7 linked regions of the Ovis aries genome follow. The protein of the gene in region 2 interacts with the protein of the main gene of each other region in a biochemical or structural test. Links are inferred from orthologs where the notes say so. Each region holds a gene or a part of one and is shown on either strand. Other genes may lie near its edges.

Evidence for each region.
Region 1: the proteins of LRRK1 (region 2) and CHGB form a complex in vitro, tested with the Homo sapiens proteins (2 studies listed by BioGRID and IntAct, with this or other methods). The link is inferred for Ovis aries from reciprocal best matches to the Homo sapiens genes LRRK1 and CHGB.
Region 3: the proteins of LRRK1 (region 2) and CLVS1 form a complex in vitro, tested with the Homo sapiens proteins (2 studies listed by BioGRID and IntAct, with this or other methods). The link is inferred for Ovis aries from reciprocal best matches to the Homo sapiens genes LRRK1 and CLVS1.
Region 4: the proteins of LRRK1 (region 2) and CD2BP2 form a complex in vitro, tested with the Homo sapiens proteins (2 studies listed by BioGRID and IntAct, with this or other methods). The link is inferred for Ovis aries from reciprocal best matches to the Homo sapiens genes LRRK1 and CD2BP2.
Region 5: the proteins of LRRK1 (region 2) and GAK form a complex in vitro, tested with the Homo sapiens proteins (2 studies listed by BioGRID and IntAct, with this or other methods). The link is inferred for Ovis aries from reciprocal best matches to the Homo sapiens genes LRRK1 and GAK.
Region 6: the proteins of LRRK1 (region 2) and CWC15 form a complex in vitro, tested with the Homo sapiens proteins (2 studies listed by BioGRID and IntAct, with this or other methods). The link is inferred for Ovis aries from reciprocal best matches to the Homo sapiens genes LRRK1 and CWC15.
Region 7: the proteins of LRRK1 (region 2) and PDCD4 form a complex in vitro, tested with the Homo sapiens proteins (2 studies listed by BioGRID and IntAct, with this or other methods). The link is inferred for Ovis aries from reciprocal best matches to the Homo sapiens genes LRRK1 and PDCD4.

Annotation. Positions count from the first base shown.
Region 1 is NC_056066.1:47,754,636-47,758,930, forward strand, and holds the start of CHGB (secretogranin-1), read left to right. Parts: upstream 1-1,495; 5' UTR 1,496-1,619; coding exon 1,620-1,668; intron 1,669-4,295. UniProt on the Homo sapiens protein: Secretogranin-1 is a neuroendocrine secretory granule protein, which may be the precursor for other biologically active peptides.
Region 2 is NC_056071.1:4,897,988-4,901,487, reverse strand, and holds part of LRRK1 (leucine-rich repeat serine/threonine-protein kinase 1), read left to right. Parts: intron 1-2,760; coding exon 2,761-2,932; intron 2,933-3,500.
Region 3 is NC_056062.1:39,933,182-39,936,681, forward strand, and holds part of CLVS1 (clavesin-1), read left to right. Parts: coding exon 1-204; intron 205-3,500.
Region 4 is NC_056077.1:27,062,918-27,067,207, forward strand, and holds the start of CD2BP2 (CD2 antigen cytoplasmic tail-binding protein 2), read right to left. Parts: upstream 2,801-4,290; 5' UTR 2,218-2,800; coding exon of another isoform or gene 1,597-2,217; exon of another isoform or gene 1,573-1,596; intron 1,300-1,572; exon of another isoform or gene 1,215-1,299; intron 650-1,214; exon of another isoform or gene 581-649; intron 26-580; 5' UTR 1-25. Other genes in the region: sesquipedalian-1-like, read left to right, coding at 1,597-2,217; TBC1D10B (TBC1 domain family member 10B), read right to left, coding at 3,221-3,856, 3,943-4,097. UniProt on the Homo sapiens protein: Involved in pre-mRNA splicing as component of the U5 snRNP complex that is involved in spliceosome assembly.
Region 5 is NC_056059.1:118,113,057-118,117,054, forward strand, and holds the start of GAK (cyclin-G-associated kinase), read left to right. Parts: upstream 1-1,198; 5' UTR 1,199-1,294; coding exon 1,295-1,439; intron 1,440-3,998. UniProt on the Homo sapiens protein: Associates with cyclin G and CDK5. Seems to act as an auxilin homolog that is involved in the uncoating of clathrin-coated vesicles by Hsc70 in non-neuronal cells. Expression oscillates slightly during the cell cycle, peaking at G1.
Region 6 is NC_056068.1:15,092,383-15,096,525, forward strand, and holds the start of CWC15 (spliceosome-associated protein CWC15 homolog), read left to right. Parts: upstream 1-1,343; 5' UTR 1,344-1,493; exon of another isoform or gene 1,494-1,944; intron 1,945-2,713; 5' UTR 2,714-2,736; coding exon 2,737-2,867; intron 2,868-3,506; coding exon 3,507-3,619; intron 3,620-4,143. UniProt on the Homo sapiens protein: Involved in pre-mRNA splicing as component of the spliceosome. Component of the PRP19-CDC5L complex that forms an integral part of the spliceosome and is required for activating pre-mRNA splicing.
Region 7 is NC_056075.1:30,953,258-30,957,400, forward strand, and holds the start of PDCD4 (programmed cell death protein 4), read left to right. Parts: upstream 1-1,343; 5' UTR 1,344-1,375; exon of another isoform or gene 1,376-1,446; intron 1,447-1,731; exon of another isoform or gene 1,732-1,875; intron 1,876-1,920; exon of another isoform or gene 1,921-4,143. UniProt on the Homo sapiens protein: Inhibits translation initiation and cap-dependent translation. May excert its function by hindering the interaction between EIF4A1 and EIF4G. Inhibits the helicase activity of EIF4A. Modulates the activation of JUN kinase.

The sequences.
Region 1 (4,295 bases), on a different chromosome or scaffold from region 2:
AGACCACTGAAATGGGACGGATTGATATTCTAGAGGAGTCCAGAAACATGCCCATTAACATGCACATATGAATTCTAGGTTTTTTCCAAAGTTAAACTACACAGCAGGTGGGAAATATGGTCATTTCAGTAAAACGAAAAAAACAAATTCCCAGAAAAATTAGGTGTTGATATTTTTTATTGAAGGATAATTGCTTTACAGAATTTTGCTGTTTTCTGTGAAATCTCAACATGAATCACCCATAGGTATACATATATCCCCTCCCTTTTGAAGCTCCCTCCCATCTCCCTCCCCATCCCACCCCTCTAGGTAGATACAGAGCCCCTATTTGAGTTTCCTGAGACATACAGCAAATTCCTATTGGGTATCTATTTTACATATGGTGATGTAAATTTCCTTGTTACTCTTTCCATACATCTCACCCTCTCCTTCCTAGAATCTATTATACAGAGTGAAGTGAGTCAGAAAGAGAAAGATAAATACCGTATTCTAGCACATATATAAGGAATCTAGAAAAATAGTACTGAAGAATTTACTTACAGGGCAACAATGGAGAAACAGACATAGAAAATAGACTTAAGCGCTTAGACTCTGCGCTTCCTGCTCAGCCAAAACAAACAAACAAACAAAAAGTGACCATGCCGCTATCTCACAGGATGTTTATTCTAAAGCCCTTGTTTATAAAGAAAATGCTGATTTCCTCCGTCGTCCTGCTTTGAGAGAATTCATAAGAAATCTTCCGTGGCCCCCACCTCTGCCCTGTACATGTTAATCTAAATGTCAAAAGCAAAAATAATAAAAAGTTTATAAAATAATGAGAAGAAAAGAAAACTAAGTCTGAATATAGGAACTGGCTATCGGCCAACTACGATAATGAAAAGAGATACATAGCCTCCCTGGTGGCTCAGATGGTAAAGAATCTGCCTGCAATGAGGGAGACCTGGGTTCAATCCCTGGGTCGGGAAGATCTCCTGGAGAAGGAACCAGCAACCCACTTCAGTATTCTTGCCTGGTGAATTCCATGGACAGAGGAGCCTGGCGGGGCTACAGTCCATGGGGTCGCAAAGAGTTGGACACGACTGAAGCGACTAACACTTTCATACAGCCTCAAACACGTTTCTAGATACGGAGGTTGGCGGCTGGGGTTGGGGGTTGGGGGGTTTGGAGGGGTTGGGGAAGGCGGGTTGCGGGGAAGAAGAGAAATATATTTCGACAATCTAAGCAGGACTCCCTCCTCTCCCCTCTGGACTTCGATTTGAGCTACCTCCCCTCATCCTTCCACCCTTTCTGCCTAACTCCCCACTCGCGCTGAAGACTCGGAGCACTGAGGCGACTGCACTGGCGTAAATTTCTACCTACGTGCGCCACCGCCCCTGAAGGCCGTTTCATGACGTCAGAGCTAAGCGAGGGGGCGCCGCCTCCTGGGTGCCAGCCCCTCCCAGCCTTGCGGCCCTGGCTTGCCCTTTAAAAGAGCAGGGCCTGCGCCAACCGCCCCACACCGCGGGGACCAGGATACAAGGCTGTTTTCCCGGAGCATCTTCATCTCGCCTTCCATCCCCTTGTCATTCACCGTTCCGACTGCTATCCTCTTCTCCGCGCAGATTTGGACGAGCCAGGCCATGCAGCCGGCCGCCCTTCTCGGCTTTCTGGGAGCCACGGTGGTTGCAGGTGAGTGGGCGCGGCTGGCCGTTCAGCACCGCGGACAGCGCCAGCCTCTGTCTCCTTGGCAGTCCTGGGCATCTTGGCTGGTGGATACTGGGTGAGAGGCAGGGTTGAGTGGAAAGTCTCTCCCTCTTGATTGAGGGTCTTAATTTCTTCCCTTCCCTGAGTGTTTCCCTTCAACTGCCCGCCCCAACATCTGACTTGGAAAAAGCCAGAGGACTTCCTAGCTCATGTCTAAAATGTCACATCCTCTCCATCTATTTAGAGAAATGCTGTTATAGTCTTTTTCTGTATCTGCAATTAAGTGTTTGTTTGGCTTTTTAAAGCCAGATGACCACGGAGAGACAGGAGTACACCTATTATATTAGTTGACAACTGTATACTTTCTATGACTGTTACTATTATTTAAACATAATGAGATAAAGGTAAGCCTCTTATGTTTATATGTATAAAAGATATATCTTTTTTTCTTAACATATATGTTAAGAAATGACACATATGTATGTTCATTTATCCACAGGTTTAATGTAATATTTTTCTGTATTTTATATTTTTGTCTCTGGGAAGAGGTAATTTCACACTCAAATTAATATATCTTTAAGTTATAAATGAGAAGTGCAATAGATATTTTGACTTCTGTGCTCCAGGAAAATAGTGAGTGTGAAATAACCACAAAAATATTCTTAGAGTAATAAAAATAAATTGTTTTAGTCAATTTGGGAGGATGCAATTTTAATGTGTGGGAAATTGTGGGATTAATTTTTCAAACTGCTCTGAATCTCAATGATCTTTGGAAATTTGGGGGGGGGAGGGAAGAGTGTGTGTGTGTGTGTGTGTGTGTGTGTGTTTGTGTGTATTTGTATGCTGAAGTCACTACAAGTCCACTGAAAAGTAAATATGCTGCCACCAGATTAAACTGGAGGGTTTTTTAAAAACAGTCTTAATAACCTCATAGAATATTGTTCTTATCTAAGATTGAAATTCCTAACAAGAATTGAAGCATTGCCATCCATGAATATGAGGGTTCCATTGACAGTAATTACTGGATCCCAGATATAAAGAGAGACAAGAGCCAGAGGTAATTTTTGTATTGCAAATTCAGAATTTTCAAAAAATTCTTGTCACTGTTACAAATTGCCTACAAATGTTCATGATTTAATTGAAGAAAGCCAAATAAATATTTAGAGTCCTCCCTGATGAAAAATATTTGCAGAAAGGAATTGCTTAATAGGCTAAATCTGTGCTATACATTGTGCTATAGACCACAAAAACAATGTTATTTCTGAGACTTATTTACCTACATGTGTATTAGTCACCCAGTCGTGTCTGACTCTTTGGGACCCCATGGATTGTAGCCCACCAGGTTCCTCTGTCCATGGAATTCTCCAGGCAGGAATACTGGAGTGGGTTGCCATTCCCTTCTCCAGAGGATCTTCTCAACCCGGGATCAAATGCAGTCTCTTGCATTGCAGGCAGTTTCTTTACCACTGAGCTACCAGGGAAGCCCCTATAGTGATAAAATATTTATGGCTCTTTTGCAAGATAATATTTTAAGAAGGGTTTATATTTTAATGTCAACTAAAATCATGATATTCTTTAAAAAAAAGTTTTTTACTGAGCTATAATTCACACACCATAAAATCTATACTTTTTAAAGTGCATAAATCAGTGATTTTTTGAACACTCACAGATTGTGTAACCATTATAACATTTCAGAACACTTTCTCTCACCCCAGGAAAAAAAAGTCTATTCCCCATTCCCTCCTCCTCCAAATGCTTGGAAATGAGACATGGTAGCCTTCAAGCAGAGTTTGTTATTTACCAAAATCACAGGAATCCTGTGGAAACCATCTGGTTTATTTCCTACCATTATGAGCTTCTGGAAGGAGATCTATACCTTTCTACAGTAGTTACTATGCATCCTAAAAATTAATATGCATTCAGGAGCTACATGCTATTCATATTACACTAGGTAAGATGGTTTCTGCATTCAAAAGAGCTTGCTTACTGTATTATTTTATAGCTGTTTTATTTTCACTCTGGGATGAAACCTTAGTTTGTTAGTCTTATTTGTTGTTCTTGTTCAGTCGCTCAGTTGTATCCAGCTTTTTGCAACCCCATGGACTGCAGCACCCCAGGCTTCCCTGTCCTTCATCATATCCTGAAGCTAACTCAAACTCATGTCCATTGAGTCAGTGATGTCATCCAACCATCTAACCTACTGTCATCCCCTTCTCCTACAAAAAAGATCTTATGACCCAGATACCCACAATGTGTGATCACTCATCTAGAGCCAGACATACTGGAATGCAAAGTCAGGGGGTCTTTAGGAAGCATCACTATGACCAAAGCTAGTGGAGGTGATGGAATTCCAGCTGAGCTATTTCAAATCCTGAGAGATGATGTTGTGAAAGTGCTGCACTCAATATGCCAGCAAACTTGGAAAACTCAGCAGTCAGTCTTATGGAATACTATTATTTTGGAAGTTATTCTCAGATTTACCATGTGATATTATTTGAAAGTTTTTCTGCCATTTGATTACTTCGCTTTTATCATAATCATTGGGTTTTCTTTTGTGACCCCTAAATCTTAACTTATACAGAAATAAAATAAGCTACTTTAGGGGTATCAAC
Region 2 (3,500 bases):
AGGTACAAAAGTGTGCATGCTAACTATCCAGCCCAGTTTCAAAATGCAGGGAGGGCAGGGACTCGAGGGGCATGTGGGTTCAGTCTAACGGCACTCTGGCTTGGTTCTCAGGGCCTCCTTTCTCTACTTCAGTCTCAGCTGTTTCCTGGGTCTGATGCTGATGTTGGCCATGAGGCAGTGGCCAGGATGCCAAATCCCCAGACCCTTTTGATGCCTGTCATAGAACACAGCACCACCCGGCCCCTCAACCCCAGAGCTCTGGGGGAACACCCTCGGGACCCTCCGGGGGCTGGCCTGGCCACTCTATGGCCAGCCAAACAATTCCATCAGCACAGTCTGGGTCTCTTGGGAGCCAACTCTGGGCCATCGCTTCCTGAGCTCCCACCCATATATCCACTTGGCCTAATGACTGTGGGAGGGGCCTCAGTCCTTCCTGCTTCAGCCCCATGGGGACCAAGAGTGAGTCCTAAAAAGAGAAACCCCAAAGGGGAATTCAGAATCCACATGACCCCTCCCATCCTGGCCCAGGTGTGTCCTTGACTTTGGCCCCTGGTAAAGCAGCCTGTGAGTTTACAGCATTGCCGGAATTTGACAGTTTTCTGATTATTCTATCAGCAGGTTAGAGGAATGCGGAAATACTCTCACTCTGTAAAAGCAACTGCCTCTTTTTTTCCTCATATGTAAAATAGAAATAATACTATCACTTACTAGTATTATAGTCAATGTGAGGATTAAATCAGAGGGTACGTGTGAACTATGAAACGTATCTCCTGCACCTTTGAGCTTCAGGGACATCCAGGATCATCAATGCTGTTATTGTTACTATCTTTGCGTTAAGTACTCATAGTCAGTGGTGTCTAGTTCCATCTAAAGTCAGGAGTGTCTGAGCACTATACCTACCTCTAAGTGTAGATATAATGGGTCCCTTGTACCCCAGAGACAAGGAGTTTCAGCTCTTTGCACCATAAGCTTTTATATGATCAACAAAAACAAAGGCATTTGCTGCTCCTTTCAACCTGCAGTCCCTGGGAAAACCTTCAGGGCCTTTCTAAACCTCTCTCTACACTTTCGAGTGTTTGTACTTCTTCCAGGCGGGGATGCACTGGCTCTCAGCACTCGGGGAAGGCTCTGGCCCAACTGCTAAGACAGCCTCAGGGACGTATCATGGACTGGCTCCGCCGTAGTGCAAACCCCGTGCAGTGCCCAGGTCTTCATGGCTTTCTAGTCAGCAGGCACGTGAAGAACTCCCCTCTTAGTTCCCCAAGCCCACACCTTTGGCAGCCCTGCCCTGTTAGTGGTCGCTCTAAAGCCAGTGCTGGTGGTTTCGCCCAGGGCTCTGCTCACATTGAGAGGGGCTTCCTTTGCCCATCAGTTTAAACCTCTTCACTTGCCATTCTGGCTTTTAAGTCATCCGTACCTTCAAAAATATTGAACACCTGCTGTGTGTGCCACGTGCTGGGGCACCTGGGTACAGAGTGTGCCCCCTCCCTCGGGCACGCTGGCCAGATGGAAAAAATTGGGAAGTCCCAGGGCACAGCCACGGAGGGGGTCCCATGTGCCCAAGCTGAGCATGGCATAGGCAGAAGAAGCAGGCTAGATCTCACTGGGCACTGACAAGGGCCTCCTGTTTGAGGTCAGAGAGATAAAGGACTTCTCAGAACTAAAAGGCATGTGCCAGAGAATTCCTGGCTGTGGAGAGAGGCACTCCAGCTGGGCTCATTGGCAAGGTCCTTTGGGCCAAGACCTATAATGGCTGAAAAGGACCGAAACGCCACCATCTGTCCCCTTGGACCTCACCTACACAGCCACTGTCCGTTCTTCTCTAACCCTGCAAGGCTGGCATCCCCACTCTTCTGCCATTAAGGAAGCAGAATGGCAATGAGATTAGGCCGTGTGCTGAAGACACCCTGGGGACTCCACCCCCAGGCTGTCTTTGAATTTTCCTTCCATAGTGTTTTCAGGGGTTTCTTTCAGAAAGTCCTAAAAACATTTTATAGGACCTACACTAATGGAATTTTAAAGGATTAAGAGAACTGAAAGCAAGCCTTTAAGGACACACCCAAGGCTCTGCCCAAGGCCATCTTAGCTCCTCCAGGACACACAGAAGATGCTGGTTTTCAGGGAATTATTGGAGGGACCTCCCTCGTTTCAGCTTATTAAAAGTGATCACAGTCATGAACAGCTCACTGACACTGCAGTTCAGTCCTTTTATGAGTAAGACTGCTCTTATAAAACATCATTCTTTTGCACAAAGAGCCTCATTCGAAATTTCAAGGTAATTGTGTTATCTCAACTGGCCAAGAACAATAAATAGCTTCTCAGGCCAAAGACATTTCTCTGACCCCCGATATCTTGTCCTTGGAACTGTGCAGCTGTATTTGTTTTTCCTTCACCATCCGAAGTTAATTTTAAGTAACTCCCCAATCGCAACCCGGTTTACAGAGAACCGACTGTGATTTGTTGTGTCTGTGTTTATGACCACAGATGTTTTCACGTCTTCCCTCGCCGTGTTCTAGTCTCTATCTTAGAGACTTCGACAAACTGATTCGCTATGCCCATCTTCGTTTTCTCTTGGAGTATTTATGCTCACCATATAAACTACCCCCTCTTTCTAAAAATGGTTCCAAAGGCCCTGGGAGGAAGGCATCGGGCAACCTGCGCTGCTTTGGCAGATCCCGCCCCAGGCCAGACTGCCTGCAGGGGTGAGAGCCCCAGAGCAGAGCTCAGGCCTTGGCTCAGCAGCCCTCTTTGGTGTTTCAGCTACCTCCTGCCGCATCTGCTTCCGTCCAAACCCGGCCTGGACACCCACGGCATGCGGCACCCCACAGCCAACACCATTCAGAGAGTGTTTAAGATGAGCTTCGTTCCGGTTGGCTTCTGGCAGAGGTTTATAGCACGGATGCTGATCAGCTTGGCTGAGATGGACCTCCAGGTAGTTGCGTTTTCTGCATAGGGCACTATTTGCTTGCAGGCCAAGCCCCTGCGGCTATGCCCTGGTGGGAGTGGGGGGAGGGAGACACCCTTTGCTGGAGGAGCCTGACTGAAGACCCTTTCCTGCAGCAGAACTGCTGGCTTAGGGTCCGGACACTGGGACAGCGTGGCTGCCTCCTCTCCTGTGGGCCACAGACCCGCTTGAGTCATTCTGTGAATGCCAGATCAGCACCTAGCTGTCTTGGACAGACTATCCCATGAGGAGCAGTGGTTTCAGTCTTACCAACGTCCACATTCCCTGGCTCTGTGGCTGTGGACCGGGACTCAGAGTCTGCTTATCCAGACACTGACCTTGAATATGCTGTTGCTCAGGGATAATGCCCAGAAGAACCATGGTTTTGCCATTCAGGCTGTGACTGAACTCCCCTGGGGAGCTCTTAATAGACACAGACCAACAAGTCAGAATCTGTGGGTATGGCACACAGGGATCATATTTTTTAAAGCTCTCCAGGTGATTGATTTCACTGTCCAGTCAAGCTTGAGAACCACTGGCATAGAACTTTAACTTG
Region 3 (3,500 bases), on a different chromosome or scaffold from region 2:
CCACCAGCTAATACATCCTGAATTTTTGCCATCTGAATTTGGAGGCACTCTTCCTCCTTATGACATGGGAACATGGGCCCGGACGTTGCTCGGTCCTGACTACAGCGATGAAAATGACTACACTCACACTTCCTATAATGCAATGCACGTGAAACACACATCCTCCAATCTGGAGAGAGAGTGCTCACCCAAGCCAATGAAGAGGTAAGGTCTGGGTTAGCAGAGCCTTCCAGTTAGAGCTCAAGAGGCATTTTTTTATATAGGGGCTATTTCAGGTAACCCTGGTAGCTCAGATGATAAAGAATCTGCCTGCAGTGCAGGAGACTCAGTTTCGATCCTTGGGTCAGGAAGAACCCCAGGAGAAGGGAATGTCAACCCACCCCAGTGTTTTGCCTGGAAAATCCTATGGTCAGAGGAGCCTGGCAGGCTACAGTCCATGTTGTCGCAGAGAGTCAGACGTGACTGAGCATGCATGCATTGTGAGTTAAGTAATTGAAGACCTTTATGGGCACAGAACTTGAATAAAATAAATTGCAATACATTCTCAGTTGATTTCACCAAAATTGAAAGTAAATGCGGCTTGGCTAGCTCAGAAATACTGTCATCCCCATTGTATGAAAGAAGCAGTAGAAGGCTTGGCCCTCGGTCATGTCATGATTATGGTTTTGGTCTCAAGGGAGTCTGTTAATTCACACAGAATGAAATGTGGGACCTTTGAGACACATTGGAGGAAAAAGCAACCTGCTAGAAAATGTTGCTATCATCAGCGTATTTGGAACCATTTATTGAGCATTTACTTGGCCACAGGCACTGATCGGGAACTGGGAGTATGAAAATGAATAAAGACATAAAAGGAAAAAAAAAAAAAAGAGAGAAGAGGGCCTTGGGAAAAATCTGCCAAGTAAGACTTCTAGCAACCTATTTCTACTGTGAGCAACAGCTGAGCTGAGCTCTGAAGGATGAGAATCAGCAGCCCAGGCTTACAGAGGGGGAAAGACAAGACAGACAGAGGTGTGGAGACTGTGGAGGGGTGGGATAGTCTGGTGTGGCAAATTGGTGTGAAAGGTTCAGGAGTGAGAGTGGGAATGAAGTTCTACAGATGGCTGGTTGCAGGTGGGGAAGTAAATTGTATGCTGTAGTCAATAGAAGACCATGAGTGAGGGCTTTTAAAATTGATATACAAATAATGTGCAAGTACTTTGTTATTATAATCAGTAAAGCCTTATTTTACCTTTTCAACCCCTAGTCCCCAATCTCAATCTCTATGCCTCCCCAAAGGAGGGGTTGGACTGGGGTGAACCCTTCCATTCTCTTTTCCATACATTACACATAGCTATATACACCCAGAGAAAATATCTAATATTGTGTATTGTGTGGTCTAGTTCAATAGGGCTGCTGTGACAAAGTACCACAGTCTAAAATGGACTAGGTACCTTAAATCAGGGGTCCCTAACCCAGTACTGGTCCAATACTAGTTCATGGCCAAAATACTGGCCTGTGGCCTGTTGGGAACCGGGCCACATAGCAGGAAGTTAACACCAGGCAAGAGAATGAAATTTCATCTGTATTTACAGCTGATCCCTATTGCTCTCCCATCATCCCTGGATGGGACCATCTATCTGCAGGAAAACAAGCTCAGAGTTCCCTCTGGTTTTGTATTATGGTGAGTTATATAATTACTTCATCATATATACTATAAGGTAGCATGTTCAGTTGCTCTGTTGTGTCCATCTCTCTGCGGCCTCATCGACTGTAGTCCACCAGGCTCTTTTGTCCATGGGATTCTCCAGGCAAGAATACTGGGGTGGGTTGTCATTTCCTCTTCCAGGGGATCTTCCCAACCCAGGGATCGAATCTGCATTTCTTGAATCTCCTGCATTGGCAAGCAGATTCTTTATCACTAGTTACACCTGGGAAGACCCTATATATCACAATGTAATAATAGAAATAAAATGCAAAATAAATGTAACATGCCTGAATCATTCTGAAACCATCCCCTCCTGCCACCCTGGTCCATAGAAAAACTGTATTCCATGAAATCGGTCCCTGGTGCCAAAAAGGTTGGGGACCACTGTCTTAAACAATAGAACGTTATTCTCTCGCAGTATGGGGGCAACAAGTCCAAGATTAAGGTGTCTGCAGGTTGTTGCCTTCTGAGGCCTCTCTCCTTGGCTTGTAGATGCCCATCTTCTCTCTGTGTCTTCACTAGGTTTTCCCTTCATGCATCTTTATCCATATCCTAATTTCCTCTTCTTACAAGAACACTACTCATATTGGCTTAGGGCCCACCTTATTTGGTCAATATCTTAATAACCTCCTTAAAGATGCTATCTCCAAATACAGTCACAGTCTGAGATACTGGGGGTGAGAACGTCAACGTATGAATATGAAGGGGGACAGACATAGCTTATCTGTCTTCATGTAAGCTCCTTTGATGTCGGTAATGCTAGGTGTAGCTCATGTTTTCAGCACTGTGTCATGTTCCAGAAAGTGGATATATCACAATGCAGCCATTTCTCTTCTGATGGACTGTTAGATTTTTTCTGAGCTTTCTTCTCTGTTCTAAGCAGGGCTCAATTTACCATTTTGATGTGCCTCCTTCGTTCTCATGGGAATGTTCCTCTGGGTAGATGTGGAGTCTTGTAGCTGCTAGGTCAGAGGACTGTGCACCTTAAATTTCAATCACGCTGCCTAGAGACCCTCCAAAATGACCTCACTCCCATTTTGGGTGTGTGAGAATATCCCTCTCAGACCCATTAAAAGTGCTTGATATTAGCAGACTTCACTTTTTTTCTCCTGAGTTATAATTGACATAATGCTTCTGAGATGGCTCAGTAGGGAAAAAATCCACCTGCAGTGCAGGAGAGGCAGGAGATGCGAGTTTGATCCCTTGTAAGAGGGCATGGCAACCCACTCCAGTATTCTTGCCTGGAGAATCCCAGGCAAGAGGAGCCTAGCAGGCTACAGACCATGGGGTCACAAAGAGTCGGACATGACTGAGCAACTGAGCACACACAAGGTGTACAATATAATGATGTGACTTACATACAGGATGAAATGATTATCCCATACATTTAGTGAACATCCCTCATTTCATATAAATATAAAATTAAATAAATAGAAAAAACTTTGGTTCTGTGTAATGAGAACTCTGAAGACATACTCTCTTAACAACTTCCACATATAACATGAGCAGTTTTAATTCTATCAATCATATTGTACATTATATTCCTAGAACTTAACTTATCTTTTTGAAAAAATATTTTATTTATTTCTTAAGCTGTGCCAGGTCTTAGCTGTGGCATGAGAACTCTTGGTTGTGGCCTGTGGGATCTAGTTCCCTGACTGGGGATGGAACTCAGGCCCCCTGCATCTGGAGCATGGAGTCTTACACCTAGAGCACCAGGGAAGTCCCCTTACTTATCTTATAACTGAGAGTTTGTACCTCTCGACCACCTTCATCCAATTTTCCCTCCTCCTACCCACTGCCTCTGGTGACC
Region 4 (4,290 bases), on a different chromosome or scaffold from region 2:
GACTGGACAGAAGGGCTTTTCCAAACTGAGCAGAGGGAAAGGGTGCAGATTAAGGGAACTGGGTGAGGAGGCAACTCCCCGCGAGGGGGCCCCCTGCACAACAGATCTTTTACTTGGCGGGTACTAGATCCACTTTGGGAAGGGAGTACAGAATCAGGAGCCGAAAGGCGAGCTGGTAGTCCAGAACCCGCCCCTCCCCCCGCCCCTCCCGGGACTTGGCTTAGCATCTAAAAGAGCCGCTGGTGCGGAGACGCAAGAGCGGACGGGCGGAGGAGCTCCTACGGGCACCCCCACCCTTGACAAGAGGAGACGGGCTCCCCCACGTGACCACCCTTATTCCAGGCCCCAGCAGTGCTGGGCGCGATGTGCTTCGCGGGTAAACACCCGCTCCACCACCCCCAGCTTCCTCGGAACCCGAGGGGCCCCGGCAGACCCAGGACCTAGCGCCCTGGCAGCCCCGCTCCTCCCTGCGCCGAACTCCCAACTCCGCGGGGTGACTCCCAACTGTCTTGGGCTGTGTACAAATTAGAAAGGCGGCAGGGCCACGGGGACACCAGCAGTCCCGCCGGCACGCGCTCACCTAAGGATCCAGGAAAGGTGGGGGAAGAAAGGGAGAGAGGGTTTCACCAGGGCTACATCCGGGCCACCCGCCCGCCACCACCCGGAAGAGAACTGCGGAAGGCGGCGGGGAAAGCCGGAAGTGGCTTCACTCGGGTTAGATGAACAACTGAAGGAGCGGGCGGAAGTACGCGCCGCGCGGGGAGAGACGCCCCCTCCCAGAAGTGACGCGAGCCGTGTGGGGTGACTATGGTGAGAAGAGGGGACATTTGAACGCCTAGACCCTGATCGGACGAGGATGGCCGGAAGTGATCTCGGTTTCCTCCTACAACACTAGAGGCTCTGAGGAGAAAGGGGCGCCCAGGTTCACGATGGAGGAACAAAGTCCCAGCAGGGCCGGTGGGTTCCTGCCCTAGTTTTCTCTTTCCCGGGTTGTCTCCTTTTCCCCACGGCTGGTTCTGCGCCCTTCATCATCTCATTAGAAATCCTGCCTTCCTACTCTTGGCGTCCAGTTGTCCGCCCTTTGCTAGTCCGAGGTGTAGCCTTGCTGTTGTCCCAGAGGTTCTCCTGGGACTTTCCGAACCCAGCTCCTTTTAGGACCCAGGGGAAGTCTAAAATCAGCCGCCTCCTATCCCCTGGCCAAGTTCCTGGTTTCTGAGGTGGGAAGAGTCAAATAGGAGAGGTGGCAGTGGCACCTGTTCCCAGTACCGAGGCCTGAAGTCCCTTGTGCCCTCATCTCAGGTAGGCCTGGGAAAGGGCCGTAGTGGATATCCGCCAACCCCACCCCCAAACAGGACCCCAGCACTACAGTCCTGCCCAGGTTTTGTAATTTGGCCCAAGGGGCAGAGCTGAGGTTGGGAGGTGGGTGGAAGGTCCTTCTTGAAAACTCAAGTTTGAATCCCTCTAGACCAAGACCAAGACAGTGCCCAGAAAGAGCCTGCTGGAACCAGAGGAGGGCAGTGCTGGGGTACTCCGGATCACCAAATGCCCCACTCCTCCTTTCTCCACTCCTAGGGTTTCTTCCCACAGTGGGCTACCATGAAACTGCACCGAAAGTCCGTGCTCCGTTTCTTCCGTGGGTACAGAACACAGGCTCCAGACCGGGAGGGCATCCTGCTAAAGAAGGGGGCCCGAAATACCAGTTATCAGCGCCGCTGGTTCATCCTGCGAGGAAACCTCCTCTTCTACCTGGAACACCAGGCTGACCACACACCCCTGGGTCTCATCCTATTAGAGAACTGCCAGGTGGAGCCACGCCTTGGAGCCACAGAACCTTATGCCTTTACCATTCGGACTCCAGGGGGAGATGGTGGGCGGGCCTACAGGCTGGCAGCAGAAAACCGGGAGGAGCTGAGAGCCTGGCTGTGGGCGTTGGCCGGAGCCACCTGGACGCGGCTGGCTGAGCTGCTACGCCCCCTGGAGGCCCAGTACCGGGAGCTGTGCCAGGCAGCTGGCCAAGAGCCCGGCTCACCCCCAGAGGACTGTGGCTCCCCAGCCACCCCCAGGACCCTCTTCAGCTTCCAGGAGTTGCACGAGCACTTTGGAAAGGAGATCCGGATGCTGCAGGCTGTCCACAGACAGTTCCAGGAGGCCAGTGACAACGGAGGCAGCAGATCCCCAGCAGGTGGAGGTGAAGCAGGAACGCAACAACTGTGTTGATGAGTGACTAATAGACTAAAGACCCAAAGGTATCTGCCAAGTCCAGTCAACAGCTTCCAGAGACACCCAGATCCTTGCTAACTCATCACTCCCTCCCTCCTTGTCCTTACTTTAACCCCACTCATCAAATAACAAGGCAAAAGACAGGCCCAGGTACAACAGCAGGTTCTTTTCCGGTTCCTCAAAGCGGCCGAACAGGGTGGGGGCAGAGACAGAAGAACATGTAAACATTGGGTTCCACCCCCTGGGGCTCAGGGGAAGACCCTTACCCAGGAAGGGGCTGGAGGGTTGGAAGGGACAAAGTGAAAGGCAGGGGCCCTGGTCAGATAAAGCAGGGGAGGCCTGAGAATACAGAGAAAGGTGGGTGAAGAGGAAGGAGAGCAAGGAGGGTGGTGGTGGGAGGTGGGAGACATTTCCTGTTCCAGTGCGTGTCCCCTTAAATAAACTAGAGTGCAAGAACACTGAGGAGGGAGAACCAGAGAACAGAAGATGGAGTGAACACCCCCACCCGGGGCCCACCAGGTCCTCTGTACATAATTACAACACAGAGATGTCCAGAAGGAGAGCAAGAAGAGCCTGGGCCCCCAACCAGGAACTGGGGGAAGACAGGCAGGACTGAAGGGGGTAAAGGAACCCAGCTTCACTTCACGGGTAAGGGGAGTGACTGGAGTGTAAGAATCTGAAAACTGCTGACTCCCACTGCCACAGGTCACCCCTGCGGTGACCAAAGGCCAATCAGGAGAGTGGCACCTGGGAAGGGACCCCAGTTGGGCCGAGCTGGAGGTGAGGTGTCCACTGCTTCCCCAGGGAAATGCAGCTGCCCCCCGTTCTGACTGTCCTGGCCACGTGGGGATCAGCGGCTGGCACGGAGACGGGGAACAAGCCACTTTCCTCAAAAAGAGGGACAGCCTGCCAAGGGCGGGCTGGGAGCAGGACCCCAGGCTAGGTCTGCTCTTGGCTGAGGGAAAAGAGGGGGCCACGTAGTCCAGCCCCAGGGCAGAGGTCAGAAGTACGCATCCTGCCGGGCCTCTGATGCTGAGGACCTGTCCCCGCCGTCCTGGGGGGCAGGCGGTCCATCTGCCTTTCGATGGAGTGAGAGCTTCCTGCCCTGGGCCTTCTTCTCCTGCTTCTGCCGCTCCTTCTCCTGTTTCTGCTGCTCCTTCTCCTGCTTCTGCCGCTCCTTCTCCTGCTTCTCCCGTTCTTTTTCCTGTTTCTGCCGCTCCTTCTCGCGTTCCTTTTCCTGTTTCTGCCGCTCCTTCTCCTGCCTCCGGGCCTCCTTGCCGCTAGGGGCCAGAGGGGCGCTGTTGCCAGTAGGCGAAGGAAGGGATGGACGCAGTCCCTCGGCGGTGACCACGGGCCCTGGGGCAGGCCCCGCGCTGGCCCTGCGGACGGGAGGGGGTGGGGAGGGGACCCCTCCACCTGCCCGGGAGCCCCGGCTCTTGAGGCCAGGGAGGCTGAGGAGGCTGGAGGAGGGGCCCAGGGGGGGCAGCTGCCGCCGGCGCTCCTCGTGGATGGCCCGGGAACCGTGTAGTCTCCGTGAGGGCCGATACTGCAGCTCGCCCCGGGTTTCCAGCCACTTCTTGAGCTGGGCTGCGTTCTCTCGCTCAATCAGTGCTTCTGTCACTTGGAGGTTGGTCACCTAGATGGAGAAGACATGGGTACCAGGGTGAAGTGGGGTGGGGATCTACTGAAGCGGGTGTGAGGTACGCTAAGGCCAGGACCTACCTCGTGCACCAGGAAGTCCTCCTGCATGCACTGCTGAGGCAAGTTCCGCAGCTGCTCCATGGTCTCATACATGCCTTGGCAGGAGCGCAGCTTTTCCACCGAGCCCAGCGTGTGCCGCAGCAGCACCAGGGCCACCCGGAAGATGATCTTGACGCCTGCAGGCCCGAAGAGAAGAGGCCATGGGTGATCAGCCTGGGGGGTCTCAGCCTGGCCCGTGCAGGGGGTACTCACAGCCCCCATCCCTGTGTATTGTTGACCCGACAGATGAGGAAATGGAGGCCTTGAGAAGAAAATGAGCCACCATGGGTTTTAGGTTCCTGGGAGGCAAAGCAAGCTGTGGCTGGTGGC
Region 5 (3,998 bases), on a different chromosome or scaffold from region 2:
CTCCAATGCATGAAAGTGAAAAGTGAAAGGGAAGTCGCTCAGTCATGTCCAACTCTTAGGGACCCCATGGACTGTGGCCTACCAGGCTCCTCCATCCATGGGATTTTCCAGGCGAGAGTGCTGGAGTGGGGGGCCATTGTGTGCCACTTCTAATTACCCTCCCTGCCTTCCCCCCATCTCCCTGCGGCCCTGGGACCCAATGCTCTTAGTTTTATTCCTGCTTCCTTGGCTGTTCCTCCCCTCTGAGGACTGCGTCCTCTTTCTAACCACCGTGTCCCCCTCAGGGCTCTCTTCAACTGCCACCTATATGCTAGGGACACCCAAACACAGCCTGACTCCTTCCTGAGCCCCCAACCCTTGTATGCCACGTAGCAGATGAACACTGGCTGGAGAAGCCGTGCGACTTGTGTGGGCTTCGAGCTGTCTCACTAACTGTGTCCAGCAGACCCTGGCCAGCTGGCCGCGTAATGCCGCTGCGGAGCACGCTTTGTCACCTCGAAGGCGGGGGTGGGGTGGGAGTTCTCTGAGATGCTCCAGGGTCACTCAGGCGAACACTTATAAAGCCCTGTACAAACTAACCTGCTTTATTACAAGGATAACAGACGCTAGCCTGTCTGGAGAGAGATCTCTGTGAAGCTCCGGGCGGGTGACGATGCTGTCTGGGGATCCGGCTCCAGGGCCCCGCGCCGGGACCGGGAAGCGGCCCAGGGGCCAGGCGAGCGGTGCTGTCTTACCTGCGGGGGCAGCTCTAGGTGGTGGGTGACACCCGGGAGTCTGGGTCCAGTGCCGCCAGATCTGACTTTTTTCTACAGAAGCTACCAATCTTGGTTTCTGAAATTGAGCTTTTCAGTTCTTTAGTGGGAACCAACTCAAAAAGATGGACATTGCTAGCGCCCTGGCGCTCCGCGCACACAGCCCGCTGCTCCCGCCGCGCAACCAGGCCCCGGGAGCGCCAGCTTCCGCGGAAACGGCCACGCGGGACGGTTGGGCGCCAGGCCGGGGGCGAGCCCTGCGAGGGTCGTCCGCCGCAGCCAGCAGGCGCGCGACCCGGAAGTCCGCCCGAGGCCCGCAGGCGCGCGACCCGGAAGTCCGCTGAGGCCGCGGCGCCGCGCACGCGCGGCCCCGGCGCGGCGGAAGTGCGGCGCCGGCGCTCTTCCGGGCGGGTCGCGCCCCCCGCGCCTGCGTCGCGGCGTCGGGCGGAAGCTGGTGCGGCTCGCGAGCGGCGGTTGCCGAGCGGACCCGGACGCGCGCGGACCCCGAGCCCTCGGGCCGGCGCCCGCCGCGGGCCGCCGCCATGTCGCTGCTGCAGTCCGCGCTCGACTTCCTGGCGGGCCCGGGCTCCCTGGGGGGCGCGGCCGCCCGCGACCAGACGGACTTCGTGGGGCAGACGGTGGAGATGGGCGAGCTGCGGCTGCGGGTGCGCCGGGTCCTGGCCGAAGGTGAGGGCGGCCGCGGCCGGTCGGGCGGCGACTGCGGGGGACGAGGCCGGCCGCGGGTCGGGCACTTCCGTGAGGGAGGCTCGGGGCCAGGCCGGGCCCTGGCGGCCGTGCCGGCGGGTGCGGGCCACCCCCGGCCCGGGCGGAGGCTGGCCCGGCGGGCGGGACTCCACGCGGCTGGAGGCTGGAGTCTGCAGGCGGGCGGTGCGGCGGGGGCAGGCGAAGCCGTGGCCCCTCTCGCTCCGAGGGCCACGGCGGGGGGCGGACGCAGGGCCGGCCGCCTGGCTGACAGGGGCTCGGGCGTGGGTGGCCGTGGCCCTGGCCTCCGCAGGTGCGGGGGCACGCGGTGCGGCGCCCGCTAGCCGCGCTGCCTCCTTGCCCCTGAGCGTCCCTTTCCCCGACCTGCGTCTGAGTCCCCAGGCGAGTTTCCGCAGGACGAGCCAACAGGTGTGACCGCTGCGGACCTTGCTTGGCAGGCCGGGCAGGGCCGTCTTTGGTACTTCCGCGTGCCCTCTCTGGCTTCCTGAATGCCCTCTTTACTTCACGCAGAGTTGCTCACCCCTGTTGGCGCAGCCCTTTTGCTCCTTTGTCTGGCCCGGCAGATTCCCCTAGCCGTGGCACTTGGCAGCTGAAGGCGTGGCTTTGGGGCCGCTGCTGAAGCCTGAGGTACCCCCCTGATTTCGCACTCTTGCTGCCAGCTGTGCTCAGTTTGAGCTGGGCAGCGCTGACTGTTCTGGGGCCCTCCTTCCTAAAGTCCTCAGGTGGTGCTAAGGCCAGAGCACCACCACACATTTTTTCTCCACTGTCAGAAACATTTTGGGTGTGACTGGGTGACAAGCCTCAGGCTCTTTCCGAAGTGGAGGCCAGTGTATCTAGTAATGAGAAGTGTCCCCCGCTCCTCCGCCCCCCACCGCCCCATCAGTTCGTTTATTCTGAAAATACCAGGCACGTGTTTTGATTCTTTAAGGAATCACAGTGCACAGGACGTGGTTTCTGCTTTGTGGAAGTTCAGGTGAGACACAGGCGCTCTGATGACTGGAGGTCAGCAAAGTGCAGGGGGTCCCCTGGTGGGTGGACAGTGGGCCCAGCTGCAGGGCTGGAGGAGGAGGGGGGCTGGAGGGGGTTGGGGAGGCGGCTCCGGGAGACAGGAAGCTCCTGCCAGTGGCTTCACCCGAGGATGAAGACCAGCGAGAGCAAGTGCCCGCCCTGGCTGTGCAGACCTGCTCCTTCGTTCCCCCAGGACGTCAGGAGCCGTCGATTTCCTGCCCGTAAACTGAAGTGGTAGCCTAGGGCTTGCGGAGCTCGTGCGGCTGCTTCTGAACTGGGCCAGTAGGAGACCTTTGGAAGTCCCTCACGTAAAATAGCAGCTTGAGGGCGTGGGCTGTGGGCTTCTGTGAACACGGGGAAGGGCAGCTCAAAACTCCTGGGCACCTATGTGGACAGTTGCAGAATTTTTCAGGTTTTAGAAAGGTAGAGTGTAGCCTGTGGGTCGTGGGATACACCACTGAGAGTTGGGAAACAGTCACGTCATCAAATGTACTAATATTTAATACTCCTGTAATTAAGTAAGTATCCTCATTGTGGGGCAATTAGGTCTTCAAATAGCCCCGTGTCAGGTCATGTCAGGGTTGCCCCAGCTGAGCTTCTCGCCAGGTTTTGCTCTCAGATGATTCTCCAGGCAAGAGCGCTGGAGTGGGTAGCCCTTGCCTTCTCCAGGGGATCTTCTTGACCCAGGGATCAAACCCAGGCCTCCCACATTGCGGGCAGGCACTTTATCCTCTGAGCCACCAGGTAAGCTGGTGTATAACTAGGTCTCCAGATAGCCCCGTGTCAGGCCATGTCAGGGTTGCCCCAGCTGAGCTTCTCGCCAGGTTTTGCTCTCAAACGATTTAGGGAGAAAGCGTCGGTTTTCATAACTTTTTGCAGTTTATAGCCTGAAATGGGTTGTTGGGTAGAACTATGGAGCTAGATAGCTTTTCAGAGTTTGTTCTAAATTTTCACTTTTTAAGAACAAGCGGGCTTCCCTGGTGGCTCAGACGGTAAAGAATCTGCCCCCAGTGCAGGAGACCCAGGTTAGAGCCCTGGGTCGGGAAATCCCCTGGAGGAGGGCGTGGCAGTCCACTCCAGTGCTCTTGCCTGGAGAATTCCGTGACAGAGGAGCCTGGTGAGCTGTAGCCCTTGGGGTCGCAAAGGGTCGTACGCGACAGAGCGACTGACCCGCTGGCATCCCGCGGCGGCAGGGGCGTCCCTGGGGCCTGTCCTGACTGCAGGAGGGCATGGGGGCGGGTGTGTTGGAGGAGAGGACTGGGCCCTCTTCTGCAGGGCCCCGCCGCCTGGTGCCTGGGGGGCTTGTCGGGGGCCATGGGGCTGTGGCGGCCCCTGTGGACCCCCCTTTCCACGTGGGAAGCGTAGGTGAGCCCTGAGCCCCACGGCTCACCGGTCTTGTAGTTCTGGTGTCTTCTCGCTTGAGCGTTGAGGTCTTGTCAACCCTCTGTCTTTGCCCTTGACCCTGGAGCTGGAGGCCTGAGTGCGGAGACCGTTCTCTGCCAGGGAGGGTTCCTA
Region 6 (4,143 bases), on a different chromosome or scaffold from region 2:
TGTGGGAGAAAAGTGGGAGCAAGAAGATCATTAGGGGACAATTACAATCCAGGTAGAAAATGATGCTGGCTTGGACTAAGGCAGTGGAATGAAATTTGGGGTATATGCTGAAAGTAGAATTGGGAAGACTTGCAAGTAAACTAGATGAGAAAAGTGAAGGGAAAGGGATTTAAGAGGAGCGCTGGGATTCTGGTTTGAGTAACTAGCCTGATGGTAGTAGTGTCCTTTACTGAGATGTGGCAGATTAGGAGAGTAATTAATACCTTTGGTAAGAAAAATCAAGATTAGCAATTTGAATTTTATGAGGGAAGGGACTTTTTCTATGCTTTGTTTCATTTAACGTTCAAGGAGTTCTGGGGGCGTTGGTGGGGAAAGCTTTTTTCTGTTCGATGTTATGAGCTCTTTACATTTGAAACTAAGGTGGGGGGAGTTCAATTTTCATTTGTTTAACAAATATCTACTGAGCATCTACTGTGGCCAAGGATTATGTGATTAGATACCAAGTTGAACTGGAAAGGCAAACAAAATCCATGCTCCCAGAGGGCTTTTGGTGGGGGAAGGAGTTAGGACGATTGGTGATTTTTTAATTTTCCTGTTCGTTACCTTATGAAAACTTTCCCTAACGCATGAGTAGCCATCTTACAATAGTAACTGCATCTAGGGCTCCTGGCAGTTGGGCCACCGTTCTAAACGTTCAATGTCTGTTAGTATATAAATGAATCTCGACAGTGACACCTCCCCTCCCACTAGAACTTAGGCTTTTATAAAAAGTAAATATTTTAACGAACGTTACGAATACAACCTTCGTTGTGAAGACTAATATTTTTGCAGGAATGGTACCTTTATAAAGATCGTGGTTGCCCCCGTACATATTTGTTCTTTCTTCATATCCAATTAAATGCAAATACTACTTTCCGTAGCCCAACTCTCTAGGCTTGTTGGGTCTAGCTCAGGAGTAAGGAAGCAGGAGCCGTTGGATTTAAACAGTTTGGTGTAATCCTTTTCTATGCTCTCTCGCTAGCCGGGGACTTGGTGTCGGCTACTCGGGGCTCTTCGTTTACGCAGTACCGGAATGAAGGAATCTGGGAGGGGGTCGGAAAAGGAAAAGACGGAACACACATTAATTGACTCTCGAAGCTACACAACAACGTTCAGGGTCTACTCTAAAGCACTGATTTCAAATGCCCGCCCCCTGGGCCGTTTAAGCCCCGCCCCGTGCGTCGTCACTTCGACTTCCACCTTGGTCTCCGCTGACTGGTCCTTGCCTCCGCGGGCGCCTGACGAGCTTGGGGTTTGCTTCCGGGTCTTGGGATTTTTTTTTTTTTTTTTTTTGGGCCGCGGGTGCAGAGGTTTCTGGGAGCGGAGAGTCAAGATGGCGTCTGTATGATCTCCGGAGGTAGCGGCGTTGGAGTTCGGCCAAAGTGAGCGGCAAGAGGAAAGCAGACTGTGGGTTGGACCGTAAGGGGCAGTTGGCGGCGGAGGCAGAGAACTCGGTGCGGGCCCTGGAGGCGCCAGACGAGGAAAGCCTAGTGTGGGTGGGGCCGGAAAGGGGTAGTTGGGGGCGGAGGCAGAGAATCCAGTGCTGACTGAGCGGTCCCCACAGGGGCCTGACGGGGAAAGCGGCCTGTGGGCGGGGCCGGAAGGGGCAGCTGGGGGCGGAGTCAGCTAACCGGGTTTAGGCCGCGGAGGCCCAGGAGCTGCAGACCGGAGAGCCATCTGTCGGTGGGGCCGGAAGGGGAAGCTGGGGGCGGAGTCAGAGAGCCCGTAAATGCGGAGGAGGCGGTGGAGCTGCGAACTGGTGGTGGGGCTCCGCGCCTAGCGAGCGTGTCCCTGGTCTCCGATCGGCTCCCGAGAGCGCAGCGCCAAGGCATCTCGGCAGAGGGCCGCCCCTCGCCCCCTGGGATAGGGGTGAAGAGTCAGCGAGTTCCCTGCGACAGCCCGGAGGTGAACTCCCCGCCCCAGGGATGACTGTTTTGGGGGGGAGGCGGCGATGCTCCCCAGAGACCTGAAACCCTGTTTCTGTCTCTCTGGATACATCCCTCTCCCTTTTTTTTTCCCCGGAAAATCTAGAGAAGTATATCATTTCCCCCAGTTTTTCCCTGACACTTGCTTCTCTGACGCTTGAGGATGTTTCAGTAACCACAAACGGGTCCCTAATTTTTGGTTATTACAGTCCTTTGAGGGTGGGCTCTTGTGTTTCCAGCATTTCTTAAATTGTAACTTGGAAAAGATCTAATTTATATTATGTTGGCTGCTACTGGAGGAAATTTGATCAACAAAAGATTGTTGGAGATATTTGCCTATGTAACTGTCATTGAAGCTTAACACACTTTTTTTACTAGAACACTCAGTAACTTTGTCAGTGATTTTTTTTTTAAGATGTCTTTGCTTTTGTAGTTGTTAGCCTGTTCTGCTGTGTGAGGTTTAGATGAAATGGGAGTAAGGAGTCCGGTGGCGTGAGGTTGAGTGGAGATGTTTTAAATTCAGACATGGCTGTACTGTATTTTATAAAGGTTTTGATATGTCACGTCTCCTGATTTAATAACCTTTTGAGGAATATCCCCATTTCACAGATGACAGAAACTTAAACTTGGTGGCTTGCCAGGGGTCACAGATGTTTGAGGGAATGAGCTAGGGAAATTATTTCACAAGGATGGCTATAGATTAATGCTTTTCAAAATGAGAGTTTGTCATATTGAAAATAACTTGACAGTGTTTTTCTTCAAAGCATAAAAGATGACAACAGCAGCTCGGCCAACTTTTGAACCTGCAAGAGGTGGAAGAGGAAAAGGTGAGGGTGATTTGAGCCAACTCTCAAAGCAGTATTCAAGCAGAGACCTACCCTCTCATACAAAGATAAAATATAGGTAATGAAGCCTTTTAGTTTTTGTTTCACAAGCAAGACCAAGTCTGTTAAATGATGTGGTCATGAGGTAGCATGTTGGGGTTACTATCACTCAAGTTATCTGTTTTCATAGGAGTAGAATGTAGTAGTGTTTCAGACACCCAGAATTATGCTCCATGATTTTAAAGTGCTACCAGATATTCCTTAAGCAGAAATTCCAGTTAACCAGGAATTTCTATATGTAGATTGAACAATGACTAATAATACATTCTGTCAGGAGGAGCAAGCACTATCAATACAAATCAGTATGAGATTAAAAGTGTTGCTGTAACAAGCCCTGAGTTAGCATACTAACAAAAAGTATAAGCGTTTTGATCAACCTGCTGCCTTACTATGGGAAAGTATGTTGATTTAGTTTGAGGTTCTTAAAGGTTGTTGATTTAGTTTGAGGTTCTTAAAAGTATGTTGATTTAGTGTGAGGTTTTAGACATCACAGGATGCCTCTTAGTAACTTTTGGATTAGACTGATGATTTTGTTTATCCCCTAGTGGAGTTTTCTGCTTTAGGACTCAGGCTGAAGTTGTGTTTCTTGAATTGTCTTCCATTACTACAGCCGTGTGTTTTTTAGAAGTAACTTTGCCTTGTCTTGTTTCTACTTTAGACAGACCACTCAGGATGCCCCTGAAGAAGTTCGAAACCGTGACTTCAGGAGAGAGTTGGAGGAGAGAGAGAGAGCTGCTGCAAGAGAAAAAAACAGAGATCGGCCAACCCGAGGTACCAATACTACCTTAGACATCTCTCATAACATTATGTTGACAGTAGTTTTTCTTTCATGTGGTAATAGGAATGGATTATTATTTTTGTTTGTTTGCTTTTAAATGTGGGGTGAGAGCTATAGCAGTTTCTTGAAAGATTAGATTGGATTGGATTGATTGGATTAGATTATATTGGATTGGATTAGAGATGATAATGAAGTTGATACCAATTTCATCTTATTATGCCTCTGTTTTAGAAAGAGCTAGGGGATATTTAGCAACTGTTATTTCAATTCAGATTAAGGAGTTTTTGACTATTTACAGCAGCCAGACTTTTTAAGGCCCCATGGTTTCTGTCTATGAAATTCTTCCATTTTTATTTCTAGCATGTGTAAACTGTATCCTAAGTTTCCTGAGGCTACAGTTTCCATAATAAAATCAATACTTTTGTTAACTCATTCGGCAGGTATTTGTCAAGGACTTACTTGCCTGCCACTGTTGTTATAGTCCCTACTGTCATGTTTAAGACCTAAGCTCTTGGTG
Region 7 (4,143 bases), on a different chromosome or scaffold from region 2:
GACTGGGAGTGGTGTGGAGAGACATGACTAGAAAGTCTTGACGTCACAGCCAAGGGGCCATGAACGCCCCTGGCTGAGGTGATGCTCCAAGCAGGTAGCCGGAAGCTGTGAAAAATGTTTTTGTATTGTGTGTGTTACAAATGATTTCCAGGCAGGGTGACTGGCAGAAAGAGGTAAGCTAGGAGAAGGAGCTTGCTGGTAGGGGAGGATGCAATTTGGTTCCAAAGACGCTATGGACACCCTTGAGGTGTTGCACATCAGATAATTGGAAAATCTGGCCGCAGATCCTGGCTGAGTCCTCTCCCGAGAGGATAAGAGACCGCAGAAAGTTCTGGTGGTTGTCTCAGGTAACAGGGAAGCTAGGGAGGATGTGAGGAAAACACTAGCCAAAGAGAACCTAGACAGGAGGAAATGATGCAGGAACAGCCCCCGGAGGCCAAAGTTTCAATAATGAAATTATAGCCATGGTTGAAAACCTCAACCTTGGAGCCTGAAACGTGTGAGTTTGAATCCCAGGAACCCGAGTAGTCACATTTAGCAAAGGGACTTCAAGAGTTTTTGAGTCTGTTTCCTCATCTATGAAATGTGAGTGATTTCTACCTCAAAGGATTGAGAGCATTCACTAAGATTCTTAGCATGGGGTTTGCACACAGTAGGAGCTAAAGAGTAAGCAGGGGCCAGCGGGAGAAGGAATTAGAGAAGTTAAGAGTATTCCCCTGAGGAGCGTCGGGAAATGGAGGCCGGGACCCTCAGGAAGCCCAAAGCCTTTGCTTCAGCCGAGGGTGCTGACCGGCGTGGAAGGAGGATGGGTGCCTGCAATCTGAGGCCTTTCCTTTCCGTCCTCGCTTCCCTCCAGCCGGGCCTCCCAGCAGCAACCTCCCCCCAACCTCCCCGCCCCGCCTCGCCTCAACCTCCCCGCCCCCGCCTCAACCTCCCCGCCCCCGCCTCAACCTCCCCGCCCCCCCCAACCTCCCCGCCCCCCCCAACCTCCCCGCCCCCCCCTCAACCTCCCCGCCCCCCCCTCAACCTCCCCGCCCCCCCTCAACCTCCCCGCCCCCCCCTCAACCTCCCCGCCCCCCCCTCAACCTCCCCGCCCCCCCCTCAACCTCCCCGGCCACTCTACTCGGCTCCCCACCAGCCAGGCCCCAAAGCATGATGCGCATGCGTCCTCCCGCGCCCTTGCCCAGCTTTCCACGTTTCACTTCCCTCCTTTTCCCTCCGCAGCGCCAGCTCCATCGCTACGATTGGCCAGAAGACCTCCTCGGATTGGCCAATAAACGGCGCCCTGTCGCCCCCGTGTTACTGGGTAGAACAAAACAAAAACAAACAGAGCGAGAGGGGCCAGAGACGCTCGGAGGCAGCGACAGACGCTGAGGTGCGGGGTCGGGGCCGGCTGACCAGGGACCTGGGCGAGCAACAGCGGCGGCGACGGCGGCGGCCTGAGGGGTCAGTAGCGGCGGCCCGGCCCGCGCGCTCGGGAGGACTGTGCCCTCTCCCACAGCCCCTATCTTCAGAGGCAGCCGCTCGTTGGGGGAGGGGGGCGGGGGGTCGTGGGGTCGTGGAGGCCGCGGCCGAGGCCGGGTCGGGCCGGCGGGGCCGGCGTCCGCCGCCTCCTCGGAGCTCGGCCGGCCGAGCCGCGTCCGCCCCAACGCCCTGGGCTGCGGAGAACCGGCCCCGATGCTCTCCTCTGGCCTCGGCTGGGAGCGTGGCGGCGCGGGCCCGCCCCCTCTTGGACCCCCTCCAGGCTTAGCGGGGCGCGCGGGGCTCTCGCCGTCGAGGGGCTGCTCGCCCACCAGAAGGCCGACTTTTCATTTTCCTCTGGGGATGGGCCGTCGGGAGGCGGGTTTCTGGCCCGACTGAAATCCTGTGAGGAAGGTATGCGCCCTCCCCGCCCTCCTGGCCTCCTTGGGGGCCCGCGCTGAAGATGCGGCCCGGCGTTGCCCGGGTCCGGCCGCCCGCCCGCGTCCAGCACCACGCGGGGGTCGGCCTGGCCTGGGGGCTGCAGGAGCCCGGGCCTGCGCGGCGGAGAAGCGGGCCGGGCCACAGCGGGAGGGGCTGCTGGGAGGCGGCCACGTGCCCGCCGCCCCGGCCCTGCGAGAACTTCGGCGCGCCTCAGGTTGGGTATAGGGTCGCTTGTTTAGTTTAAATGAAATCTCCCGGGGAAAACAAAGGCAGGGAGGGAGCCCCCTTTCTGTGTTACGTGTGCTGTGTCTGCTGCATTTGTCTATTTGATGCTGCGGTGTATGCGGGGAGGCTTTTTTGGTTTGTTTGCTTTACAAGAGCTTCGGAACTGCCTTCGGAAGTCAAAATCGCCTGTCTCCCCTGGCCCTAGTGAGAACTGACTGCGTAGCTAGCAGTTGTGAGATACTGGCAGAGAAGTAAAATGACTAAAAATGCACCTTCCTCGGGGGGGGGGGGGGGGGGGGGGAATGTCACCGCCTGTTTCTCCCTGCATTTTCCTTGTTAAATTAGACTTTTGGCATTCTTGCTAACGTAAGGCTTTTTAGGAACTCACCACTCACTTTTTAAAGGATCATTATAGATATGTTGTAAATTTACTTATTGGTATTTATGCCTTTGAGCTTTCCTGGCGGCTCAGTGGTGAAGAATCCGCTTGCCAATGCAGGAGATGCTGGTTCAATTCCCGGCCCCGGAAGATCCCTTGGAGAAGGAAATGGCAACCCACTCCAGTATTCTTGCCTGGAAAATCCTATGGACAGAGGAGCCTGGAAGTCTACAGTTCATGGGGTTGCAAGAGTTGGACACAATTTAGCGACTAAACTGCCACCACCATATGCTCTTAACTTCCCTTTTTTATAGATTTATTAAACTCCTTAATATCTTAGCAGGCGTCTTTGAATTTTATTTTGGTTGGTTTTTCTGTTGTAGTAATGAGAAAGGAAAAGTAGTTAAGAGTGTAAGTAGCTAAGAGTGTAAAAATAAATGACATTTTGCTGTTTTCCCTCATTTTTGCATCATTGTGGTTGAGTGCTTTTAGCTGATTTTAAGTGGCTAGTTAGCAGTGATTGTAGACCTGAAGTGAATACAGGTACTTTTCTAGTTAACATATGGCCTAAACTTCAAAAAAAAGTCGAAGTGGTTTATGAGGTATATTTCAGGAAATAGATTGTTTTAGGGGAAGTAGGGTGGGAAAGTGAGGATCTTTTTGGGAATGTCTTGGAAATTGATGCTTCTGCTTGTATGCTTCTGTGAAACACAATGGATAAATGAAAACTTTAATTTCAGCCTTTAATTTTGTCTAACTTACAGCTTTATTGAAAATTTTCTAGTTTTGTGTGAAGAATGTGGAGTTTAGATTTTTTTTTTTTTTTTTGCTTTACATTTTTCTTAAGTTTGTGGCAAAAACCTTACGGATTGTTAAGTAACTGGAAGCTCATTACTTTGAAGACAGTAGTAACACGGGACTTATCTTTATCTTTCTGTAAATTGTTCTAAAACATCTGTGTTGTTATCAAGTGTCCCTGAGTTCTTGAATGTGTTAATCATTGCCAGAAGACCGAGACAGGGCTTTTTGTTGTTGTTACAGTTATTTAATAAAAACAAATTTGATAAACTATAGTCATTACCTGATAATGTTCTTTGTCCAACTGAGCGTCTTTTGTGTAATAATTTAGATATTATTTTTAGTGTTAGAAAAGTAGTATTTAAAATTTTGATATGACAGCAGAAGTGTGTGTTCTAATAAGCTTCTTTCTGGTAACTCTAAAGAATCTTCTGTGGGTTATTAAAATCTTGTATTGAGCTTGTGCACACAGAACTGGATTCAGAAGGTCAGGGTTCTAATCCTGATTCTTCCAATGAGCTCTTTCTCTGATTCTGTTTAGTTGTTTGACAGTGGAGTTCCTACCTCAAGATTCTTCTGAGTGGTGCATGAAATAACCCATATAAAATTGTTTCTGAATTATAAGAGGCTTTTTAAACATCAGTTATACTTTATTAGCTAAGTTCTGTGGAAAGTGTCCTCTTGAAGATTGTATCAAGATTGAAGAAGATTTTAAAAATTAACTCTAGTTAAAAAATCTCACACTCATATCATGTAACATTTTCTCTTTCTAAAACGTGATTCATCTACTAAAATGAAATAGATTTGGCATTTTCAGCCATGGAGGACACTAATGTTTA